Tribolium castaneum: one gene and its partner. Each later gene encodes a partner of the first gene's protein in a complex. Links are inferred from orthologs where the notes say so. Each region holds a gene or a part of one and is shown in the gene's direction. Other genes may lie near its edges. The genes, in order: TfIIEbeta and Polr2F.

Region 1 (11,943 bases):
AGCTGGCGCATACGTTTTACGTGTAAACTGTTTTTACTGTTTTTAGCTGCAAATTTAGACTTGAAGAGTTTCTTGACATTTGCAGTGTTTCTTTATAAGTAAATGTAGGTCGAAGATTCATTTTTGATTGAAATAAATGCCTAGATATTTTTTTATTAAATAAAATGTCTGTTAATGAATTTGATACGAATTTTTGATAACGGTGCATTGTATTGAGAATTTAAAAAAACCATTTTATAGGAAATTTAAAAATACAGACCTGAGATATTTTAGATTTTTGTTAACTGTTCTTAATTGTTAGATATAAAGCAAAAATTAAATTGTAAGTAGGCAACTTTTAATGCATCCTTCTTCGAATGCGTAGCTAGCTGGAAGAAGATTTATGACGGGTTTAGGACTCACCGCAGGAGGTAACCACCATTGGGGTGACCCACAAGATAATAATTTTATTGCATTTGTTCAAGACAGAGAAATGTATCGGCACAAATAGGAATTTTAGCGATTTCTCTAATAGTGGTATAAAATTAAAGCACATGATTTCGGAATTAATTTTTTTAACAAAATAATTAGGTACCTATAGATTTGCATTACGTTTTTTTTGTAGACACTGCCATCAACGTATCTTATGAGATTTTGAAATACGAGTAATCACGCTCGCTATTTTTTTGAATACTTTTAACAATAAAATTATTCCTGTTTTAAAAAAAATATAAAAAAAGATGATTAAAACTTTGGTTGTACTTAGCTTCGTTCTGCACAGGTTTTGTGATAGAACTACTGAGCTCCCTCACCACGACAAGGTGTCAACCCACTGAGGAAGTTTTTTTTTTACTTTTATTGTTCAAATTAAAAATTATAATTATTATTAAAATGCTTATCATCATATTATGTATTTATGTAAAAATCTCTAAAACTAAACTTGAAATATTATTTACAAATCCTTTTTTATTATGCTGCGTAATGGTAAATTGCGACTATGTCTTGAATCAATTATTTCTGGTGACATGGCATTCATATAAAAATTTTCAAGACAATCTAGCATTCTTCCGTTCCAATATTTACTATCGTCTTTCTCAATAATACAATATTTTAAATCTGTAGAGGTGTACACTATAAAATAACAAGTTTGGCGATTAGTAATGTGGAGCTGACCTTGTACTTGATACATGTAATTATCTTTTTCTTTTAAAACTATTTTACTATCATCTTGAGAATCTATTTCTAAGTATTTAATCAATTTTTGTTCTATGGCAGTTTTAATATTTGTGTTTCTTGCGCTAAATGGACATTTAATTTCAACAATAGCATTTGAACCCACTAACCCATCTGGTGTTGCACCTAAAAAAATTTTTTCTTTATCAACAAAAAAGCCGCATGAATCTACCTTTATACCTACGATCTGTTCAAACTTCTCCTTTGCTTTCTCTTCATTATCAATTCCCCACTGTAGTGGTTCGGGTAATTTTTTAAATTTAGATAATCCCACACGATACAAGATATCTTTTACAGCATTCGCTGTATTGGTCGTACATTTCATATTAATAATTCTTCCGAAATTACTAGCCGTTAATCTATTATTTCTTTCTTTATCCCACTGCTCATTATTACGTTGACCAATTGTTAACAAAGGAATTTTTAAAATATCGCAAGCAGCCAAATCATTCAAGAACTCATTTTTTATTTTGTCATATGTTTCTGTTGGCATGTCTATTATGTCATTAGTCGCACCATAATCCGAATCTGCACTTTGAATACGAATTTTTCTTTTATTTAATTTTGTAGCATGAAGTTCTTTGGTTTTTAATAAGCGATTTGAAAATTTTGTGGTGTAAATGCCACTATTCCCTGATATTTTCTCCATAATTTTAAATACAAATTTGTTTTTGTTATTTACATTTACGACTGCCGCAAAGCATCTTCCATGATAAGAACCGCGTTCTGAAAAATTTATTCTTTTACCCCCAACAAGTTTGTTAACTACTGCATTAAATGACTCAACAGAATTATTATCGACATCATACAATAGACTTGAAGATAAATTTGCAACTCGTTTTAATGCCTGCATGAACAACTCAAACAAGGAACAAAACTATGCTAGTATTTTATTATTCTTTAGTATCAAATTTTTTTAACAAAATAAAAAACGTATTTTTCACTGTATGTTGCTTGAATCTCTGAAATAAGAGAAACTATCGTGGGCGATAGTGGAATTCAGTTTGTTTACATTATTTGCATTTTATGAGAAGGGACAAGACACCCCGAGGCGAAGGTCGGATGCCTATCCGATGATTGACAGCCGTCACTGAAAACAGGTCTAAAAAAAGTATGCAACTTGTAGTACACCAATTCTCAACAATCGCTTCGGTACCCTGAAGCCTCCGAGAGTAAGTTTTTTAAAAGACGAGGAATGTTTCTCGTTTCCTGAAAAACTTAGACATTGTAGTCATTGTACACTTTAGAACTAGATCCTTCAATTAGACAAAATAAAATAATAAAAAACCACTCACATAATGTCGTTTAAAAATGCATAAAATTGTTACAACGTACAGGCTGATTCAGATATAAAGAGCCTGAAGATCTGCCGATGCAACCCAAAAAACAAATTTCATTTACGGCTTTGATCCGATTTCAATTACGATTTGCAAGTTGAATCGCAAGTTATCTATCATCTTATGTCACTCTGACATTAGCGCAGAGAACGATCATTAGTGTCATTCAGTTCTCGCGGAATGAAAGAAAAAGTAGAAAAGCCTTTTCGGTGTAAACTCCAATAAAAAATGAATGAGAGAATGAAACATTATTAAAGGTATAGGTAAACAGTTTTTTCGAAATCATAAATTACAACAACAAACAAGAGACAAAAAAATTACTTTTAGCGAAAAATGTGTTCAAAACGTTTGTCTCCTGCTTGTTTTTCTTGGAAGAAGAAAGGCTCGATTATGTATTTTACGAAGATGCGAGATGCCATACTAAACGTTCACCAAAACCATTGGAAATGTGTTTCACTTATCCACAGTGGATTTTTCTGAGCATAGCAATGGCAGAAAATTGGGCTTCATAACTGAATTAAATTTTCTGAATAAAGTTGTTACCAACTTGCATTTGTGTTCTGATAAAGAGACAAAACTCTAATTTGTGTTCAAATTCAGTTTTCCTAAGTTCTTGTATACTACCTGCACATGATAGGAACGAAATTTATTTTCACATAGAACACAACAAACTGAAGTCTGGCTGATGCCTGTTGGTTCTGTATTTGTAAGCTATTACACGAACTTTATTTTCCAAAGACCTAGCTCTGTGTTTTCTTCTTTTACAAAGAAGCCAATTTCAAGTTTCCTCTCAGGACGTTTAAAAATCATGCCACTAGGATTTTGTCTATTCGGGAAACGTTGGGTAAACAAATTCATTGCAGCAAGAGCAACGCATGGTACAATGTGACAATAATGTCCAGCACCGACCGATGTCAAAGCTTGTCAAGCACTGACAGAGCAACATTAGATAACTTGGATTGCAAATGCAATCTGTAATTAAAATTAGATCAAGACGGAAATGAAATCTGTTTTTTGGGTTGCATCGCCAGATCGTCAGGCTTTTTATTCTATCTGAATTTTATCTGTATATTTAGACTAAATTCGGCGCGATTTTTTGTGTTTTTTTTCCAACAAAGAATATAATATCTGACTCAGGAGGTAAAACGCTAAATATTTAATAAACAGACAAGTAAATAAAAAACCTAAATGAAATACATCGTTCTGGCCTATCTCGGCAACTATTTTTTGCTTATTGTATCGGTAAAATTCAAAAATGGAAATGAAAATTTCTGGATTAAAAAGCAACCTAGAAGATTAAGAAATTGGCTCAAAAGACGTTCATAATTTAACTCAACATTTAACGAGTTGTTTTAAAAAAATATCTTTTGAAATTTGAAGAAAATACTAAATGAAATATAAAAATGTACCTTCTTCGCGTATCGCAGAAAAATTAACGGAAATTAAAACTGCTGAAATACCTGTAGCTATGTACCTATGAATCTTTTTGTTTTTTAAAGATTCACTGTTAATTAGGTAATGTGTAATGTTAGGTAGTTAGACGCAACTTAAGAGATACTCTTAAATGGGCCTACTGTAGACCAATTTTTAATTCGTGATCTTTTTCATGTAAATGAAACAAACATAAAAAAAAACAAAGGTTTATTCAAATTTTAGTTATTATTATAAGTTATTTTTTAAGCAAAGTGAAGTGAAGGTTCGTATCAAAGATATCAATTACCTTGAAAATGTCAACATTAACACTTCTTTCGATAGCCAAAAGAGATAATGAAGACAACCTTTCTTGGCCAATCTTCCTAGTGTTCGTTTTCAACCGCCGCAAGCGAGAAAAAGACCTCTCACAAGATGTTGTGTTTATTGGAATCGCAAAAAATAAACATATAAAGGTCAAAAAGTAGAGGGAACATACTTTTCATAGCCCTTCAACAAAAATGTCGGCTCTTTCTTGGATAATTTTGTTTTTTCATTCTTCCATATTACAAATAATGTTGAGCTGAACAATTTTGGATGGCAATTGCCACCCCCAAATTACGCACTGCCCCAGGTAGTCTTAGCTGGGACAAAATTGTCTCAAAATTGGCGAATTATTCCGAGTTCAGAGCGTTGTAGAGTTCCGTAGCTTAAATGTATGAGAAGACACAAAATGAAGATTTACTTTGAATTGCGTTTTCTTCAAACGCGGGCTAAAAATTTTAGTGTTTATTGTTATTTATGGTGTTCTTAGATGATTGTAGAAAATAATAATTTAAAACTAATTAAAAAATTGTGTAATTTTTTTAGAAAAAATATTTTATTCATTCAACTTGTTTAATTTTTCTTAAAAATGTAACAACAAATTACAAAAACTTAATTTTTTTACACCAAAATAAAGCTATTTTTTAAGAAATCGACAATCGTTTTACATTATTATTCTCAACAATCATCTTCACCATAAATAAGAATAAACACTTAAACTTTTAGTCCGTATTTGAAGAAAACGCAGTGCAAAGAGAAAGTGATCTTCAAACCAAAGTAATGGGGAAGCCCCGAATCTTCATTTGGTTTCTACATTTGGACTACTGAAGCGATTCTTTACTATCTTTACAATGCTCTGAACTCGAAATTCGCAAATTTTGAGACAGCTTGCATTGTAAAACAAAAACCAAAAAACCTCCACACAGCAAGCTAGTAGTTGGCATCACATCCGATTAAAAACTAGAGTTAATTAACAACGATTATTACTACATATTTCTATAATTAGTAATTAATTAAATAATAATATTGCAAAAAAATATATAAAATTCGGTTCAAGGAACAGTCGGCCACAAAAGACAGACAGCGCAAGGCATCGGTCCCCCACCACTTGTCACTTTGACAGCCGTGAATGTCAAATGCAAAAGAAAACAGATGATTATTCCTCAAACAACATAGTTCGTATTATTTATTTATTATTTCTCCAATAAAATGGACCCCGCCTTACTAAAAGAAAGAGAATTATTCAAAAAACGTGCACTTACAACTCCTACGTAAGTAGCATTCGCATTTTGTCAACTTATTCAGTTAATTTTGTTCTACTTTCAGTGTAGAAAGAAAAAAGACTGATTCAAGACCAGAACCAACTCGCGATGATAGCAAAAGGTTTAAGTCTTCTAGTAGTAGCACCCCTAAACTTGATATCAACACGTAAGCAGCAAAACATTGCAAATTTGAATCAATTACTTTGTGATTTTTTTTTAGATACAAAACAGCAACAGGAAGTTCGCAATATCGATTCGGTGTTCTCGCTAAAATCGTGAAACATATGAGGAAGAGACACCAAGAAGGTGAAACATATCCACTCACATTAGAGGAAATTTTAGACGAAACTAATCAATTAGACGTAGGGAATAAAGTCAAGCAAGTAATTTTGTGTCATTATTACAATACTTAAATGTAATGGTGTTGATTTAAGTGGCTGCAAACCGAAGCGTTAGTCGATAATCCTAAAATTGAGGTCACTCCTGACGGAAAATTTTTATTCAAAGCTCCATATAAACTTAAAGACAGGAAAAGCTTACTGAAACTATTGAAACAACAAGATTTGAAAGGGTTAGGCGGTGTGTTGTTAGACGACGTGCAAGAGTCGTTACCACACTGCGAAAAGGCTTTGAAGGTATCATTCTTTTAGTTATTTTCTAAACGAACGACGTACAAATAAAACGTCTCCGACTTCAATATTTTCGGTAATGTCGCCAAAAAGCCCAGTTGACTATTTAAATAACTATTAACACAATTCAAAAAAATACAGGCACATAGAGCATTAAATTTTCAAGAGTAACAACTAAAAATAATGCAAAAATTTCAAACATATTAATTTGCAGTGTGACCCATATTTTTAAAACGCTGTTAATTTGGTTAAAGATACAAGAAAAATGTTAGGAACAAAGTAGTAGAAAAATCAATTTTCTACAAAAAAGTCCGCGACTATTTTTCTTTACAACTTTGTTCTTCACACTTCTTTATACCTTTAAACGTATTCGCTATGTTTTAAAAATTATAACGCGGATTGCAAATTGATAATAAATGTTTATATTTTTTTGCACTTTTAATTTAAATTAAAAACTTAATACAGAAAGAGTCAGAGATTAAGATAGTGGAAACACTTTATTGAAAACAGTGTCAAAAAATCGCATATTTATATATATGAAAACGCTGCGAATTCAACTAAAGATGTGTAAGAAGCATAGATGTAGAGAATTAAATTTCCTACAAAAAAGTCCGCCACATCTTCATTGGTTTAGGTATAAATTAATTTTCCAATACTTGACCATAAAATGAAACGAAACCGCTGTGTGAGCATTTTTAAACATTTTTGGGGCCTAAATAGTTGAAGATGTAGATATGGGGTCGTATGAATAAAGTTGAAGTATTTACTTAAAGTATGAGTATAAAGGAAAAGCATTTGCTCTTGCTTTTACTTCTTTAGTTTTTTGGAGAATCTGCTCTCAAAATAAATCATTGTAGTGAAGTTTTCAATGTTGTAATTTTTAAAATGGATTTCCATCTCCTCCCATTTCGTTGTTCTCACTCAAAAAATACCTAGCCAAAGCACGAAGATTTTTTCGTTCAAACCGATATAAAGTCTTAAAATCTTATCCTATGTGTTCGCGAGGTTGTTTATAAGTTTTTCTTACCCATAGTTGCACAACACCCACCATTGTTTCGAGTTTGAGGTGTTACTTTTAAAAATTGATGCTCCTACTGATTAGCGTCAACAATTTTGAACTAAATCCTCAACGAAAAAAGCATTTACTTTGTTTTATTCATTTTGTTTTGAGTAAAACCTCGACGTTCAAGCAAATACTCGCCCAGTGTGCTTTTACTTTTAGTAAAAACTTATACTTACATTTTTACTCATACAATTTAGAACATTTACTTGCAAAATTTGAAGTAAAAGCATTTACTCAATTGTATTCATACGGCCCTTGGTTTCGCAGATTTTTTAATAGCTATTTATTGTATAAGTGTTTTCGAAAGCATTTTATCCACGCAAGAATGTTTAATATTCTCAAGTGGATAAAATGCGACTAAAACATGAATGCAATACAATGTTTTATCCACAATCGTAAAATTAATCTTGGCAGGCTTTGTCTGGTAGTCATAATTCCTAGTTTATTCCACTAGTGGATAATAGGTCACTATAAGGCTAAAGGGGACGACAGAGTTAAACCAAGTGTGTGGCAAAGACAAGTAGTAATGAAATTTATTTTTCTACTTTTGGCGATATTTGTAATCCAATTTTAAATCGAAAAATGGAATTGACTCTTTTAAATAATTATAATTTGAGACAACGTAAGACTTTGAAAAAAAATTATTTGATATTTTTTTATTAAAAGTTTAAACAAATATTCATAATATTTTTAAAAATGTGTACGGGAAAGATGCACAGTGATGGTACGAACAGAATGCGTCCAAAAAACGAAAAATTTTGTTGTAGTTTTGAACGAATCGCGAATATTCATTTTGACAAAATTTGCCGCCGAGAATCTCCCACAGTCAAGTGCGGGACAAGAGAAAGAGAGGGCAAAAGCAACTAAAGACTAGAAGATGTAAAACACGATATTTCTGTATCCTAGTATTATTCATACAAACAATTATGGTGTTAATTCTATGAACTGAATTTAGTGAAGCATCAACAAAATCTTTTTTTTCACTTTGGAAACAATAGGTCAAATTTTAATTTATTTTTGGTAAAAAAATTATTTTGTCATGAAGATTTCTGATGATAGATTGAGAAAGCTCAGCAAGAAGCAAATAATATCATGTAACATTGAATTCGAATTTTTGTGCTATTAAATTCTTTGAAATACCTCAGACTTTCTCGGAATATGTCGAAACTCTAAGCGAAACATTCTAGGAAAAAGATGAAAGGGATCGAACAAGTCGGCAAAACAAATAGAAATTACTCATAATAATCAACCAGAATTTAGCGTTTGTTTTTAAATGCGTAATTTAAATGGAAATCATCATTTGGGCATCGTTTGTTTTAGAATGACAGTTTGGTTAATTTATGTTTCCATTTCATATTTTAAATTTTAATAATACTATTAATATTTTTAATTCATTAGTAATAATAATTTTATTGTTATGGAATTGTAAAAAAAAATCCAAAAAAACTCATATACATGAAGAAAATAATAAAGCATTTTTTGCAAACGCATATTTCTACGTAAGATTATTAGTTTTTGAGATACAGAAAAAAGTAGCAATTCTAGTTATGTAAAAAAAATTATAAAAGAGACAAAACCAATCATTACTAGATGATTTATAGATATCGGGGTTAAATCAGTCTTTTGGATCCCTAATTTTCATCAAATATACAAAATTGTATGTAGGACTTATTTGTAAAGCTTAATAATATGGGTAGACCGCTTTTCCCAAAATAGCAAACTAAATTTGCTAAATAGCAAACCTACATTTTTTTTGTTAGTTACTTAAAGTTTTTTCTATATGGATGAAAATATTTTGCTGGTGACTAATATATACACAGCTGCGTCCAAGGAATGCCTTCTTCACGACCCCACCATGACGGAACAAAAGGATTTACAAAATTCACGTTTTGATACCTTTTCCGTTAACGAATTTTAAAAACAAAAATACATTTGTGATCAGCGAAAAATGGAGATTCGTCGCCCTACCTTCGGTTTTTTAAATATTGTTTAATATAAAAATCTTAATGATTTTTCAAAACTAATTCAAAAAATTAAAAAGTGTTACGTTGCCTCAAATTTAATGAAGATTTTAGGTTCAAAACTTTTTCTAGTTTTCGAAAAAAATAAATGGCTAAAAAAATAATAGAAAAAAATTCCGCGTTATTTTGCGGCTTAGAAACATACTAAAACATGTTCCCCTTTAACCATAAGAATCATAAGTGTGGATAAAACTCCAATTATAATGTGATTGTGGATAAGTCATATTTAATTCTCTAGAACTTTCTTCCTAATATTTTTGTTATATCTTTTAGCAAATTCGCAACGTTTTGAAAAATTGGGACGAAACCTATATTTTAAATTTTAAATATATTTTTTTCTCAAATAATTAGAGAATTTGTTGAATTTAAATTAATTTAAAACGATTGACGCCAAGACAATCTAACGCTCGAAGCGTCTTCATTTTTACTCTAGCGTGCTAGATTTTTTGGGTACAGAAAATAGTGTGAATTTGTATCTCGATCTGGTTTCTACTCCTAGTCTTTACTCCTCCGAAGTTTTATACCTGTGGAATGTTTTTAAAATCTCCTGCAAGATGATATCTGTTTCAAATCGATAAAAACATATGTCACCTTTTACAAGTGGTTTTGTTTTTTAATTAAAGCTGTTTTTTATGGTGCCAGTGCCTTAAGTTGGCAACATGTCATGTTCAAACGGCACACACCAACTTAATTCTTGACCTCATTCCAGATTCTCCAAAACCAAAACGAGATCATTTTTATAACTCGACCAATAGACAAGAAAAAAGTTCTCTTTTACAACGATAGGACCGCCACTTTGCCTATTGATGAAGAGTTTCAAAAACTTTGGCGTTCTGTGGCCGTGGACGCTATGGACGATGCAAAAATAGACGAATATTTAGAGAAACAGGGAATTAGATCAATGCAGGATCATGGGCCTAAGAAGCCAATCGCTCCAAAGAGGCACAAAACGAGCCAGCGCAAGAAAACGTTCAAGAAACCACGAGATAATGAACATTTGGCCGATGTTCTTGAAACCTACTCAGATAACACACTTACTCAGAAGAATTCTGTATAATTTAGTCAAATAAATTTATATGTTAAATATTTCGTAGTTTTAATTGATTATAAAAATCGTGGGTTTTTTGATAATTATTGTCTTCCTGTCGCTTCAGATTATCTAATTTTTATTCGCGTTCAAGTTTTTGCCCAGACATGAATTTGTCCCTGTTGTTATTAATTGCCGTTAAGTTAATTTATTGTGATGAACGAAGTGGCAGAGTTCGGAGAATTGTTGGCGGGGAACCGGCTGTGCCGCCCCCTGAAGACGAGCCTGTAGTGTTTACGCGATTTGGCGGAAAAACGGCGAGAGTTTTGGGTATTAGGGACTTTCCGCATTATGTTTTTCGGGGCATTAGATACGGGCTTGCCCCCACGGGCAAAGAGAGATTTCTTGTAGTTAAATTATTTTCATTTAATCATTTTATACTTGAAAAAATTAATTTTAGAGACCGCGACAGTATTTTTTGCAAGGGTTAGAAAATGCCACGCAGTTTCCGCCGCCGTGTGTTCAGCCAGTTCCTGGCGAAGATAAGGTCACAGGGAAAGAGGATTGTTTATTTCTTAATGTTTTTACCCCGAGTCTTCCCACAGGAATGGAAGGTAGTAGTTCATTCAGTGCTGAAAATATTTGAACGGTCTTTGATTTTTAATTTAGGGCTCCCTGTTATTGTGTGGATTCATGGTGGAGGTTTTCGCTATGGATCTGCTTCTCAGTACGGTGTAAGTTTTTTTTAATAATATCTTTGCTTTCTTTTATACAATCTATTTAAAATATACAGGCTGTAAATAAAATAAGTACATTAATTTTCACTGGTAATATAACTTGTCAAGACTAACAATTTTTCTTAATAAAACGCTCGTCAATTTATAGGAGGGAAAATGATTTTAAAAAATTCGATTTTATAGAAATGGTACATAGAAAAAGTTTTTGTCTTGATGAGTTCTACCACTGGTTAAAATTAATTTACTTACTTCGCTTACACCCTGTATTATAATTAATTAATTAATTTAACATTTATTTATTAATTTCACCATTACTTATCAGTTTTTTTTAAAACAACATTGAGAAAGTTATTACTTTTTACAAATACCTAAGAGATGGCGCAGGGTAGGTACTGGTCTACTGTACAGTCCCTATACTACTTGAGCAGGCACGAGTCTTTCTATCCCCAAATCTTGTTTCTAGAATTTCTTAGTCTGGAGGATGTTTCTTTTTGTAAAATATTTCAAATGCAGAAACGGGATAGATAATTAAAACCAATCAAATATTAGTTTATTCACTAGTTAGATCACTTGACTAAGTTATTTGACAAATAATGTATTTCATATGGCGATTTTTTAAATTTTTTCACTAAATTTTTTGAACCTAGAAAGTTTTTGGCTTAAAAATGTGTTAAATCACTCAGAATTGGTTCAATTAACATAAGTAGTTAAAGAAATAAGTGCAAAAATAAATAATACCATGTGATCAAAAAAAAATTATCTAACAAATTAAAACATTGAACACGTAAGGGAACATGCGCTGGTCTTTAGATATGAATTTACAATTAGATATTAGAATTTTTGTAAATAAATTGATGACTGGTGAGTTTGATGAGCTATTCGGAACAAACAGAAACAAATTTAGCTTTTACGTTTATTTGT
Region 2 (10,227 bases), on another chromosome or scaffold:
ATAAATAAAAAAAATGGCGCGGGCACGTGTTTAAAAAACAATTTCTAACCTAAAAATAACGCTAATCCGGTAACTAAATTAAAAAAATGGCGCGGTTACATGTTTAAAATGTAATGCGAACCTAAAAAATTGCTCTAAATCGGTAACAAAAAAAAAAGTGGGAAAAAAAAGGAGAAAGAGGGTGAATTACATACAGTCTATTCAATATTTATGGATTTCCATATGTCTTAACAACCCACAAAAGTTGTTAAAAGTCCACAAAAAGTCCATATGTTCAATTTTCGTCGCAGTTTTTGTCGGTTTTGGGTACCCGGAACATTTCTCGAGCAATAGCTCCGGAACTATCAGAGATAACCCCATGAAGTTTATTATCGTTGGAAAGCTCTTTGAATTATCTATTTTCTTCAAAAAAAAAATATTGTTCTCCGACTAATAGTTTTTGAGCAAATTGCAGATAAATGCAAAAATTGGTGAAATTTTAAAAAATTCATAACAAAAAATCTGTTAGAAACCTCAGTTTTCTTGCCTAAATTCCGCCCGTTCCACTTCGACCACTCATTGAAGATAGCCGTTAAACGTTTTCGGAAGACACTTTGGCGCCGGTGTGAGCGTCCACCACCACGTCCCGGTGACGCATGCCTTCGACCTAGTGCTCCGCCCTCGAGCGGTGGGTCGGTTCAGTTGTGATCGAGCGTCGCGTTCGTGTGGTGTCGCCGGTGCCTAGCGACGAACACCATGCCAGTGAACGACCAGTCTGTGATCGCGTCTGGTTGTGACACCTCCGAGGGTTCGTAGCTACGGGGATGGCGTTGCCGCTCAGCTGCTCGAAGCGCGTGAAGGAGGTGCTCTCCGAACAGCACCTGGACATCATGGCCACCAAGATCCTGGCGCCCGTCAAGACCGAGCGCCAAATTTTGGAGAACTCGATGCTGGAGGACGACCCCAACGCCAACTGCGCCGTCACCCAGGAGGAGAAGACGCGCCCCCGGTGGGGACCCCAGCACAAGGGGGCTCAGGAGCTGGCCAATCTCTACAGCAAGGGTACGCGACGCGCGAATCAATGAAATTCCACGGTGATGACATAAGGTTTGGCGACAACGCGGCCCCCGACTATATTTAACTGTAGGCCACGACGTCTCAATGGAGACCAAAATGCAGTGGCGTACACATGGGGGTTTCACTCGTGATGATTTATTAAAATGAGAATGACACCTGTCCAATTATTTTTGGTGGTGTGTTTGTTTCCTCAATTTGACGTTTAAACCTCCTAGATTCAAAAATTTGAAATAATGTAAAATGATTGTCATTCTAAAAATGTCGCTTTACCTATCGTATTATAACAATCATTTCACTCACTAGAGATTTGTGGGGAAATATCTGATAACAAATCTGAACGAAGTCGTTGTTGATTTCTAATAATTTAGAAAATGCGATAACAGTACTTTTATTTTGATTGATATTTTCTCAACAATGTTAGAAAAAACAACGGTCAAAGCGAATTTCAGCGAATCTATCATACGGAGGACTAGATTAAGAGAAACAATATTCTGTACTTTCCAAAAAATTGACACACAGCAGAGTAAAATGAGGACGCCAAATAGTTTTAAATTCATAACTCAAAAACTAAAAGTCGTAGAGCAATGCGGTTTGTTCCATTGAATTCAGCGGCTCATTTTCTGTATTATACGAGCTTTTCATGAGATTTAAAATTTTTATTTTTTTTTGCTAAAATTTCCTGTGTAATACACATGCCTGCAAGAAAATGAAAAAAAAAATTTTTTTTTTAAATTCGTTTTATCATACTTTTTCGTATTTATATATGCCTTTACAACTCTCTAGAGTTGTTAAAAGTCCAAAAAAAGTCCATATGTTCGATTTTTTGATGTTTGATTTTTTCAATTTTCGTCGCAATTTTTGTCGATTTTGGGTACCCGGAACATTTGTTGAGCAATAGCTCCGGAACTATCAGAGATAACCCCATGAAGTTTATTATCGTTGGAAAGCTCTTTGAATTATCTATTTTTTTCAAAAAAAAATATTGTTCTCCGACTAATAGTTTTTGAGCAAATTGCAGATAAATGCAAAAATTGGTAAAATTTTAAAAAATTCATAACTAAAAAACTATTGGGAATTTGGCAATTTTTTCGATGCCAATCGATTCCCCGGATCATTTTGCATAGGTGTGAATTAAAACAGTTCCACTTTTTCAAACAGTTTAGTCGTAATTGAGAAAATAAAAAAAATTAAAAAAATTAACACCCCCCTCTACAAAATGGCCAAACGCTGCGATTACGGTCAAAGATACAAGAAAAATGTTGAGAAAAAAGTTGTGGAGAATTAAATTAAACTATCGAAAACAGGGACGTTCTATTAGTACGTCGTTTCGTGTCCTAAGCTATAGTAATCCGTAGTTTTACCTCTGGCATCTTTATGGCAAATTATGTTTGTTGTCCCGCACCTGAATTTAAATGCGGTTTAACGACCTTTCCTTGCACTTGGCCTAATCACGAAGAACCGTCGCTTTTGTTGAGCCACCACACCTACGCCACGTCCAGTCCAGTTGCCTCTTATCTGATTGTGCTTTCGTCTGATTGATCTTCAACCTTTTCGCTGACCTGACCCACATTTTACTCAAATACAAACACGAGAACAGTATTGTGTCTCGAACAATAATTAAGCGTAAAGCTCGAGGCTTTCTAAATTTAGTTCAGTCGACTTTTTATAGATTTCGAAGAGGCGGCACTAATAACATATTCAAATATCATCATCAGAGAAAAATTTAAATTATATTAAGTGACGTCCACTTTTTCTGCATCGCACTGGAAACAATAAGTGTTGAAGGAAAGCGAAAACCGACACGAAGCAGTTCACAATGAAAATAGAGAGGATAAATTTTAATCACATGTCATGTGCTTACACGTCATACGAGCCAATATTTACTGATTTAATACAACAGTTTGTAACGGATTTTTCATATTTAGCATCACCTTGATTCCGGAATATTATCTAAGACGCGTTATCTCGTGTGTTATTGATGCAGTAATTACTAAATGTTGACTTTTCCAAACTACACACTAAGATTGTGTCCAAGTTTTGCGGAGAAAAACATGTTTTTCGTTTCACTGGCTCATTTTATTTTTAAGCGGTGTGCAAAAGAGCGTCTATTATGATTTTTGGTGAAAGTAGTTCCGCTTCAATACTACATTAACCAATCTATTGATTTGGAAAAGTTTAGTGCAACAAATGCTTAACACCAGACTTGTTTTTTATTTAAACGAATTTTTAATTAAATGTCTTGCAAATAATTAAATCCGATATTAATTTTTGCCAATATGGACAATGAGTTTATCTTTATTGTCCCTACTTTTATCAATGATGTTTCGTAAAAAAGGCAATCATATTATTCTTGCATAATTATCTACAGCGTGAGAAAAATTTATTTAAATACACGTGCTTGTCTAGGTTTATCTTTCGTCTGTCTTTTGTTTTTTAATGAGAATTTGGCGTAATTAAGGTATAATTACGTGTTTTAGATACGGTTGGTATGGCGATATTTTGCTTGTTTTAGATTAAAAAATAGTTCAAATTCTTTCATGTCCTAGATCTATTAACGCTTTAATGAAAGAATGTTATTGCACATGTGCTGGTTGTGAGACAAATAACGTTGGAATTGAACTAATATTGAGTGAGAATGGCGTTTGCAAAGGATCGATCGGTGAAAAAAACTTAAAAGTTTTTACACAATTTGTCACTGCAGTGATGTGATGTTTATTTATTTAGAGCACGTAAAATTGCGCAAAAACGAACTATTTCTGGAATTGTTAAGTGACATTTTATTCGCTAATATTTGGCAGATGTTAGCATTCTTTCGACAGGTCATCAAAATTATTACACTGACGTTTTCTTAAACAACAGCCCACATCAAAATTACTAAAACGTGATTATTGTCAATAAAATGATTTATTCCCCGATTTAAAAATTTGGCTATTTTTGATGCGCTTCCGGGTTGTATTATTATCCCTAATACCTGGCTTTAGTCCCTATTAACGTAACAAGTTCGTGGAGAATTTTTCTCATTAAAGAATCCTAACAAAATAAAATAAAAGAATCGCTATAATTTAACAAATTACCTTTAATCGCAACGCATTTGGAAAAATAATTGAACTGAAACTCATTCCTTGATAACAATCATTTGGGATTGTTTCCTTAAATAGAATTAGAACTAAAACAAGTGGTGGTTTTTTCAATTCTATGTTCAAGTGGTACAATAAAATTTTACTACCAAGGTTTGCAAAATAAAGGCGTGTTTTAATACGTCATTAGAGGGTGATTAATCTGCTAGATAATTTCAGTCGACTATAATCACCATGAAAAATGCCAAGTGTGTAAAAATAATCGTATTTTAAGTAATTAACTTTCCGTTTTTTCCGTAAATAGCAACATCTGTAGCACAAAATTAGTCACTGCACAAATACAGGTGTTAATTTTTTTCAAAAACCAAAATTTTGTAAGAAATGATTAAAAAAGAATAAATTCTGAAATTTTCTACCACAAAACTTGTTTTTTGCTGACGGTTGTGTCCAGCTAATCTATAATTAAATAAGATTTCCCTTGTGGATTACCGTAATAGGTTTTGCTGAAGTTGGCAGTTGTATTAAATTATTTCAGTTTTACGAAAAATAGTTATATATAGTTATGTACAGTTAGTTGTCGTGTTTTTTACATTCATACATGTTGTATGAGAAAATTTAAATTATGTCTCCATAGAGGAATTAATGCTGAAAAGTGAGGCCTTGTTATCATCACTAACGTTTGCTTTAGATTAACCTTTTTGCTTAACTTAGCTTGCGGTTACGTGTAATTACAATACAATAAAAGATTTGCAACGACACAAAGCATCATGCAGATACGTGTCAATCTGTACGTACGAAGCTACTTCACCTTTAACTAAATTTACATAAAATAAGTCGTAACATGTTCAAGAAATGTGTTTAAATATTCGGATTTAGAACAGAAACGTGTTATCATTCGTAAGTTTTTGGCAAAATTAAATTATCACTCGAGTGGTAATAAATCCGTTACGAAATTACGTCAAGGTACAAAAAAGGAAACCACCTCTCGATGACATAATATCTCGCGAAAATGAATCATTGTAGTTTCACGCTATAGTGAGCGTTAAAACGTAAAAAATGCCACTTTAATTCGTGTTTTATTGATGTGTTTGTCTAATCGACAGTGTGTTTTATTCTGATAGGTGCTTATTTAGGAAGAATCGATCTTGTCGTCGATATTACTTAGCACAAGTTCGTTTATTATGCATTGATGACATTTCATATTATTCCGATGACCCATTAAACTCGATTATTTTTAATATTCCTCCTAGTTTACACTAATACTGGGCCCAAGTGTAATTAGCCGAGTCACACCGCTCCCTTTTTGCAGGGAAGCGGACTCAGGAATGCATCTGCGTGGGAATCTGCTTGACCCTTATGGTGGTCAACTTCTTCTTCATAATATTCCACGTCCGTATGGACAACTTGAGCACGATTTTGGTGGCGGCGTTTTGCGGCATTGTGACGGCGGATTTCGGCTCGGGACTCGTGCACTGGGCGGCCGACACGTGGGGCTCGGTGGAGCTCCCCATCTTGGGCAAAGTGAGTGGAGAGCGAAATGTTTGATATTTTAAATTTTGTGTAGAATTTTTTGCGGCCGTTCCGCGAACACCACATCGATCCGACGTCCATCACCCGCCACGACTTTATCGAAACCAACGGTGATAACTTCATGGTGACCATTCCGTTTCTGGCGAGGATGGTTTGGGATTTTCTGACGCTGCCTGCGGACGGGGTCGAGAGGAAGTTCACGTGGAATTGCTACGTGTTTCTGTTGGCGATTTTCGTGGCAATGACCAATCAGGTAGAGTTAATTATTGATTCGAATTAATTCCTCGGGTCGTGTGTGCGCTTTTAGATCAGCTCGCGATATAATACTTTATAAAATGATAGGGCCCGTGGCAAACACGCACACCTGGGGTAACGCGCCCGATAAATCTGAGTTCATTTGCTGATTGGAGCCACTTTCCAGATACACAAGTGGTCGCACACCTACTTCGGGCTGCCGGCGTGGGTGGTGTGGCTGCAGGAGCACCATGTGATTCTGCCGAGGCGCCACCACCGCATCCACCATGTGGCCCCGCATGAGACCTACTTTTGCATCACCACCGGGTGGCTCAATTGGCCGTTGGAGAAGCTGCGCTTTTGGAGCATCCTAGAGCTGCTGATTGAACACACCACGGGCTACAAACCGCGGGCTGATGATATGAAGTGGGCGCAAAAGGGCACGTGATATTTTTGTCTTTGTTATGAATGGGGTTTGTTTTGTTAGTTCTACGTGTCTGTGGAATAATTGCCAAAAGTTCATTTAGTTGATTTAGCGATTTATTGGTGATAGAGAACACCACGTTTTGTTCGATTCAATAAATACATAATCAAGTGCCTGATTTTAAGATTGGACAACGAATGTAATGTACTTTTATTGTTACAAAATCATGTTAACCATTGGGGACCAAGCGATGGGCCTTGGGCCAATTTTTTAAATGTTTAATAGTTCTTACAATTTAGCCTAATGATTTGATCAATTTTAGATTTATTGAAGCTAGTCTTAAACACTCCAGGGATAATCTACACGCACTACCAAAGTAGTTAGAGTGCCTGATTTAGGTACTTTATGAATCATTATCATTACAAACACGCTTAACACCCAGTAGGGTAATTTGTACGACTTATGACTAGGCTAAGGTTTTTAATTCTCAACTTGTTTGCAATTATTTAATTATTTGAGCTTTATGACGAGCTCCGTCTGCGTTTTATTCAATTAATCAATAAGCAGTCGTACGCTAGAAACTACCACAAAAAATGGTTTGTTAACTAGACAAACACTGTGATTTAAACATCGCAATAAATCGCAGTTATTTTTACCATTTCTAGACAAAACTGCAATGGTGCGCTCAGCTCCATTTGCGTGTGCGTCATCTGACATTTCTCTCACTACGTTTACACAGCAGGGGCATAGCGGTGACAAACTATCAAATATTTTTTGAGGTTACGAAGTTGTTACAAAAAATACAGATTCACAAAACAAGAACTAATAAACGCAGAATCAAAAACCTAACGAAACGCAAATCACAAAACACAATAAACGAACAGAAAATACTTACGATTAACACCGATAACACACACTTTCGACAACGATGCGACGACGTCTATAATTTACTGTCAATGTCAATTAATGTTCAAGGATACCACCCTTAGATAGCCCTTAGCTGTTTAAATTTGCATTGTTTTTGACAATTTTTATAGCTTTGTGTTGGTAATGAAAAAATGAAATTGACGCACACGCAAATCGAGCTGACCGCCACTATAATAGACAAGACGGTATTTTATAAAGTCTGGAACAAATGCAATTATTTTATACAATAAAGTTGCTTGAATTTAATGTGTTTTATTTTTTTCGCACCAAATTGTTAACTAAACTTAAAAAAATCGTAACAATCAAAATTTCATCAAAAAAAGTTTTTATCGCAACTGCGACGCAACCAACAATACACTAAAGTAAAAGTATTGTTTGAACCGATAACAAGTTTCGGACTGATGCACTTTCGTGCAACTCTCCAATAACCAATACTTTTGACGTTTGACGCATTTGACATCTGAACGTTGTGCTATGTTTGTGTATGCCTTTAAATTAGTCAATTAGCTAGAAATCGAGAATGAATGACGAAGAATTCGACGGTGATGACGTGGGGGACGACTTCGACGACGACGTCGATGACGACAACATCGAGGAGCTGGAGCAGCCCGAGGAGGAAGGCGACAACATCGACATCCTCGCTCATGGCCAAGCCGGGGGCGGAGTGCCCAAAAACAAACGCATAACAACCAAATACATGACCAAATACGAAAGAGCTCGTGTTTTGGGAACAAGAGCTTTGCAAATCGCCATGTGTGCCCCAGTTATGGTGGAACTAGACGGAGAGACAGACCCGCTTCAAATCGCAATGAAAGAACTCAAACAACGGAAAATCCCCATCATAATCCGGCGTTATTTACCCGACCACTCGTACGAGGATTGGGGCATAGACGAACTCATAATAATTGACCACTAGTGTAATAAGATTTTGTTTTTAAGAATAAAGGCTAAGTAAACATCGAGTTTTATTTTAATTAAGCGAAAATCATTTCGTCGCGGCGGCGTTTCGGCTGATTGGGCCGAATCTGGCATTCAGGGTGGTTCATTAGTTCAGGGGGGCACGTTGAGACAGGTGACGATAGCAACATTTGCTTCAAATCGTAAAATAGGGCCGAGTCGTCGTTGGTGCAAAAACTGATAGCCACCCCGCTCTTCCCGGCACGGCCGGTTCGGCCAATACGATGGGTGTAATCTGAAAAAAAATAAACAAATTACAGATTAGATTTCCTTTTTTCTTCAGTTTGCACTAGTCATAAAGAAAAAAAATCTGGGACAAACTTATCTTACCTTCAATAGTCTTGGCCATGTCGTAATTAATAACAACGGAAACATCCTTAATATCAATCCCTCTCCCAGCCACGTCAGTGGCCACCAAAATGTCCTTAGCCCCCGACTTGAGACTAGCCAGTGCGTACTCTCTCTGCTCCTGCCCCTTACCCCCATGGAGCGTACACGCATTGTAGCCCAACTTCTCCAACCCTTTGGCCAAAACATCGGCCCCTTTCTTCTGATTAACAAAAATAATAATCGGTGGATCGACCCCTTTGGACAAATACTCCATCAACTTCTTCCTCTTATCGTTCTCAGTCATAATATGCACAATTTGTTCGACCCGTTCCGTCGGTTTCCCGATCGAACCAATGTACACAACCGCCGGACGTCTCAAATACGTCCTCGCCAGTCGCTCAACCGCCGGTGGCATAGTTGCCGTAAACATCACCGTTTGCCGATATTTCTTCTTACTGTTGTAATTCGCCAAAATTATTTTACTATCTTCCGCTTCTTCCGAGTCCGGTTTCAAGTTAGTGACCGGCATGTACTCCAAAATTTTTTGCACATCTGCCTCAAATCCCAAATCAATCATGCGATCGGCTTCGTCCATAACAATGTACGTGCACTGGTTCAGGACCAAGTAGCGATTTTCCAAAACATCAATAAGTCGTCCCGGGGTTGCAATAACAATCTCGCACCCCATTCGCAGCCTAAAACCTTGCTCCTCGCGACTTAAACCGCCCACAACCACCACAGTGCGGATCCCCAACGGTTGGCCAAACTTCACCGTCTCCTCCTCGATCTGTTGGGCCAATTCACGCGTGGGGGCTAAAATAATGGCATAGGGGCCCTGATCGGCATCTTCAGTGCGTTCGATTTTCGGGAGCGATTGAATCCAGGATAAAAGCGGGATCAAAAACGCAAGCGTTTTGCCCGAACCGGTCTCCGCAACCCCGATAATATCCCGGTTCTGCATCCCGATGGGAATCGCCTGTCTCTGGATGGGGGTTGGTTCCTTGTAGCCCACTTTATCGATGATTTCCAGCAGCTCTTTCTGGATGCCTGACTCTTTCCAGGAGCGGATGGGTTCCGGGATTTTGCCGCCTTTGATTGTGATGTTGTAATCTTCGCGGAAAATGCGCCAATCACGCTCGGTCATTTCCGAGACGTCTTTCTCCGACCAGTGGCGATCGTCCCACAGTTGCTTCTCTTCCTTACGTCTGACTTTCTTCAACCTGACTTTTTCCTGGGCTTTTTCCGCTTCGGTGCGGCGTTTTTCGAGTAGTTCGCCGTAGAATTTGCTTTGGTCGCGTTTTTGGGCCTTGATGTCGATTCCGGCGAGGTTTCCGCGGCCGAAAAATTGCACCTGGTGGCGCTCTTTGTACAAGGGATTGTAGTCCTGGGACGTGTCCTCACCGGCGTCCCAGTCGAACACGAACTTTCGGTCGTTCAAACGCCTAACTCGTCGCTTCTTTTTTATCAAACCCAAGTAGCGTTCTTTAATCGCGTCGGATTCCTTCTCCCTGTCTTTATCCTTCTGTTTGTCTTCGTCTTTTTCGCGATCACGCGGCCGCCGAAACTCCCGGTCATCCTTTCTCTGTTCCTCCTGTCTGGAAGCTTGCACGTTTTCGATTATTTTCCGTTCGGCTTCTTGTTGTTTCCTCAAACGGTCAACTTCCTCCTGACGACGTTTCAACGCCTCTGCGG

Evidence for each region.
Region 2: TfIIEbeta (region 1) and Polr2F share a complex: the UniProt entries of both Homo sapiens proteins name them as parts of the TBP-based Pol II pre-initiation complex. The link is inferred for Tribolium castaneum from reciprocal best matches to the Homo sapiens genes GTF2E2 and POLR2F.

What each region holds. Positions count from the first base shown.
Region 1 is NC_087396.1:10,267,898-10,279,840, reverse strand, and holds TfIIEbeta (general transcription factor IIE subunit 2), read left to right. Parts: upstream 1-5,377; 5' UTR 5,378-5,492; coding exon 5,493-5,554; intron 5,555-5,609; coding exon 5,610-5,711; intron 5,712-5,765; coding exon 5,766-5,928; intron 5,929-5,979; coding exon 5,980-6,180; intron 6,181-9,967; coding exon 9,968-10,315; 3' UTR 10,316-10,344; downstream 10,345-11,943. Other genes in the region: carboxylesterase 1E, read left to right, coding at 10,453-10,692, 10,746-10,899, 10,955-11,019. UniProt on the Homo sapiens protein: Recruits TFIIH to the initiation complex and stimulates the RNA polymerase II C-terminal domain kinase and DNA-dependent ATPase activities of TFIIH. Both TFIIH and TFIIE are required for promoter clearance by RNA polymerase.
Region 2 is NC_087398.1:1,175,530-1,185,756, forward strand, and holds Polr2F (DNA-directed RNA polymerases I, II, and III subunit RPABC2), read left to right. Parts: upstream 1-7,768; coding exon 7,769-8,164; 3' UTR 8,165-8,210; downstream 8,211-10,227. Other genes in the region: Kua (plasmanylethanolamine desaturase 1), read left to right, coding at 804-1,041, 5,443-5,654, 5,698-5,916, 6,085-6,345; probable ATP-dependent RNA helicase DDX23, read right to left, coding at 8,223-8,440, 8,536-10,227. UniProt on the Homo sapiens protein: DNA-dependent RNA polymerase catalyzes the transcription of DNA into RNA using the four ribonucleoside triphosphates as substrates.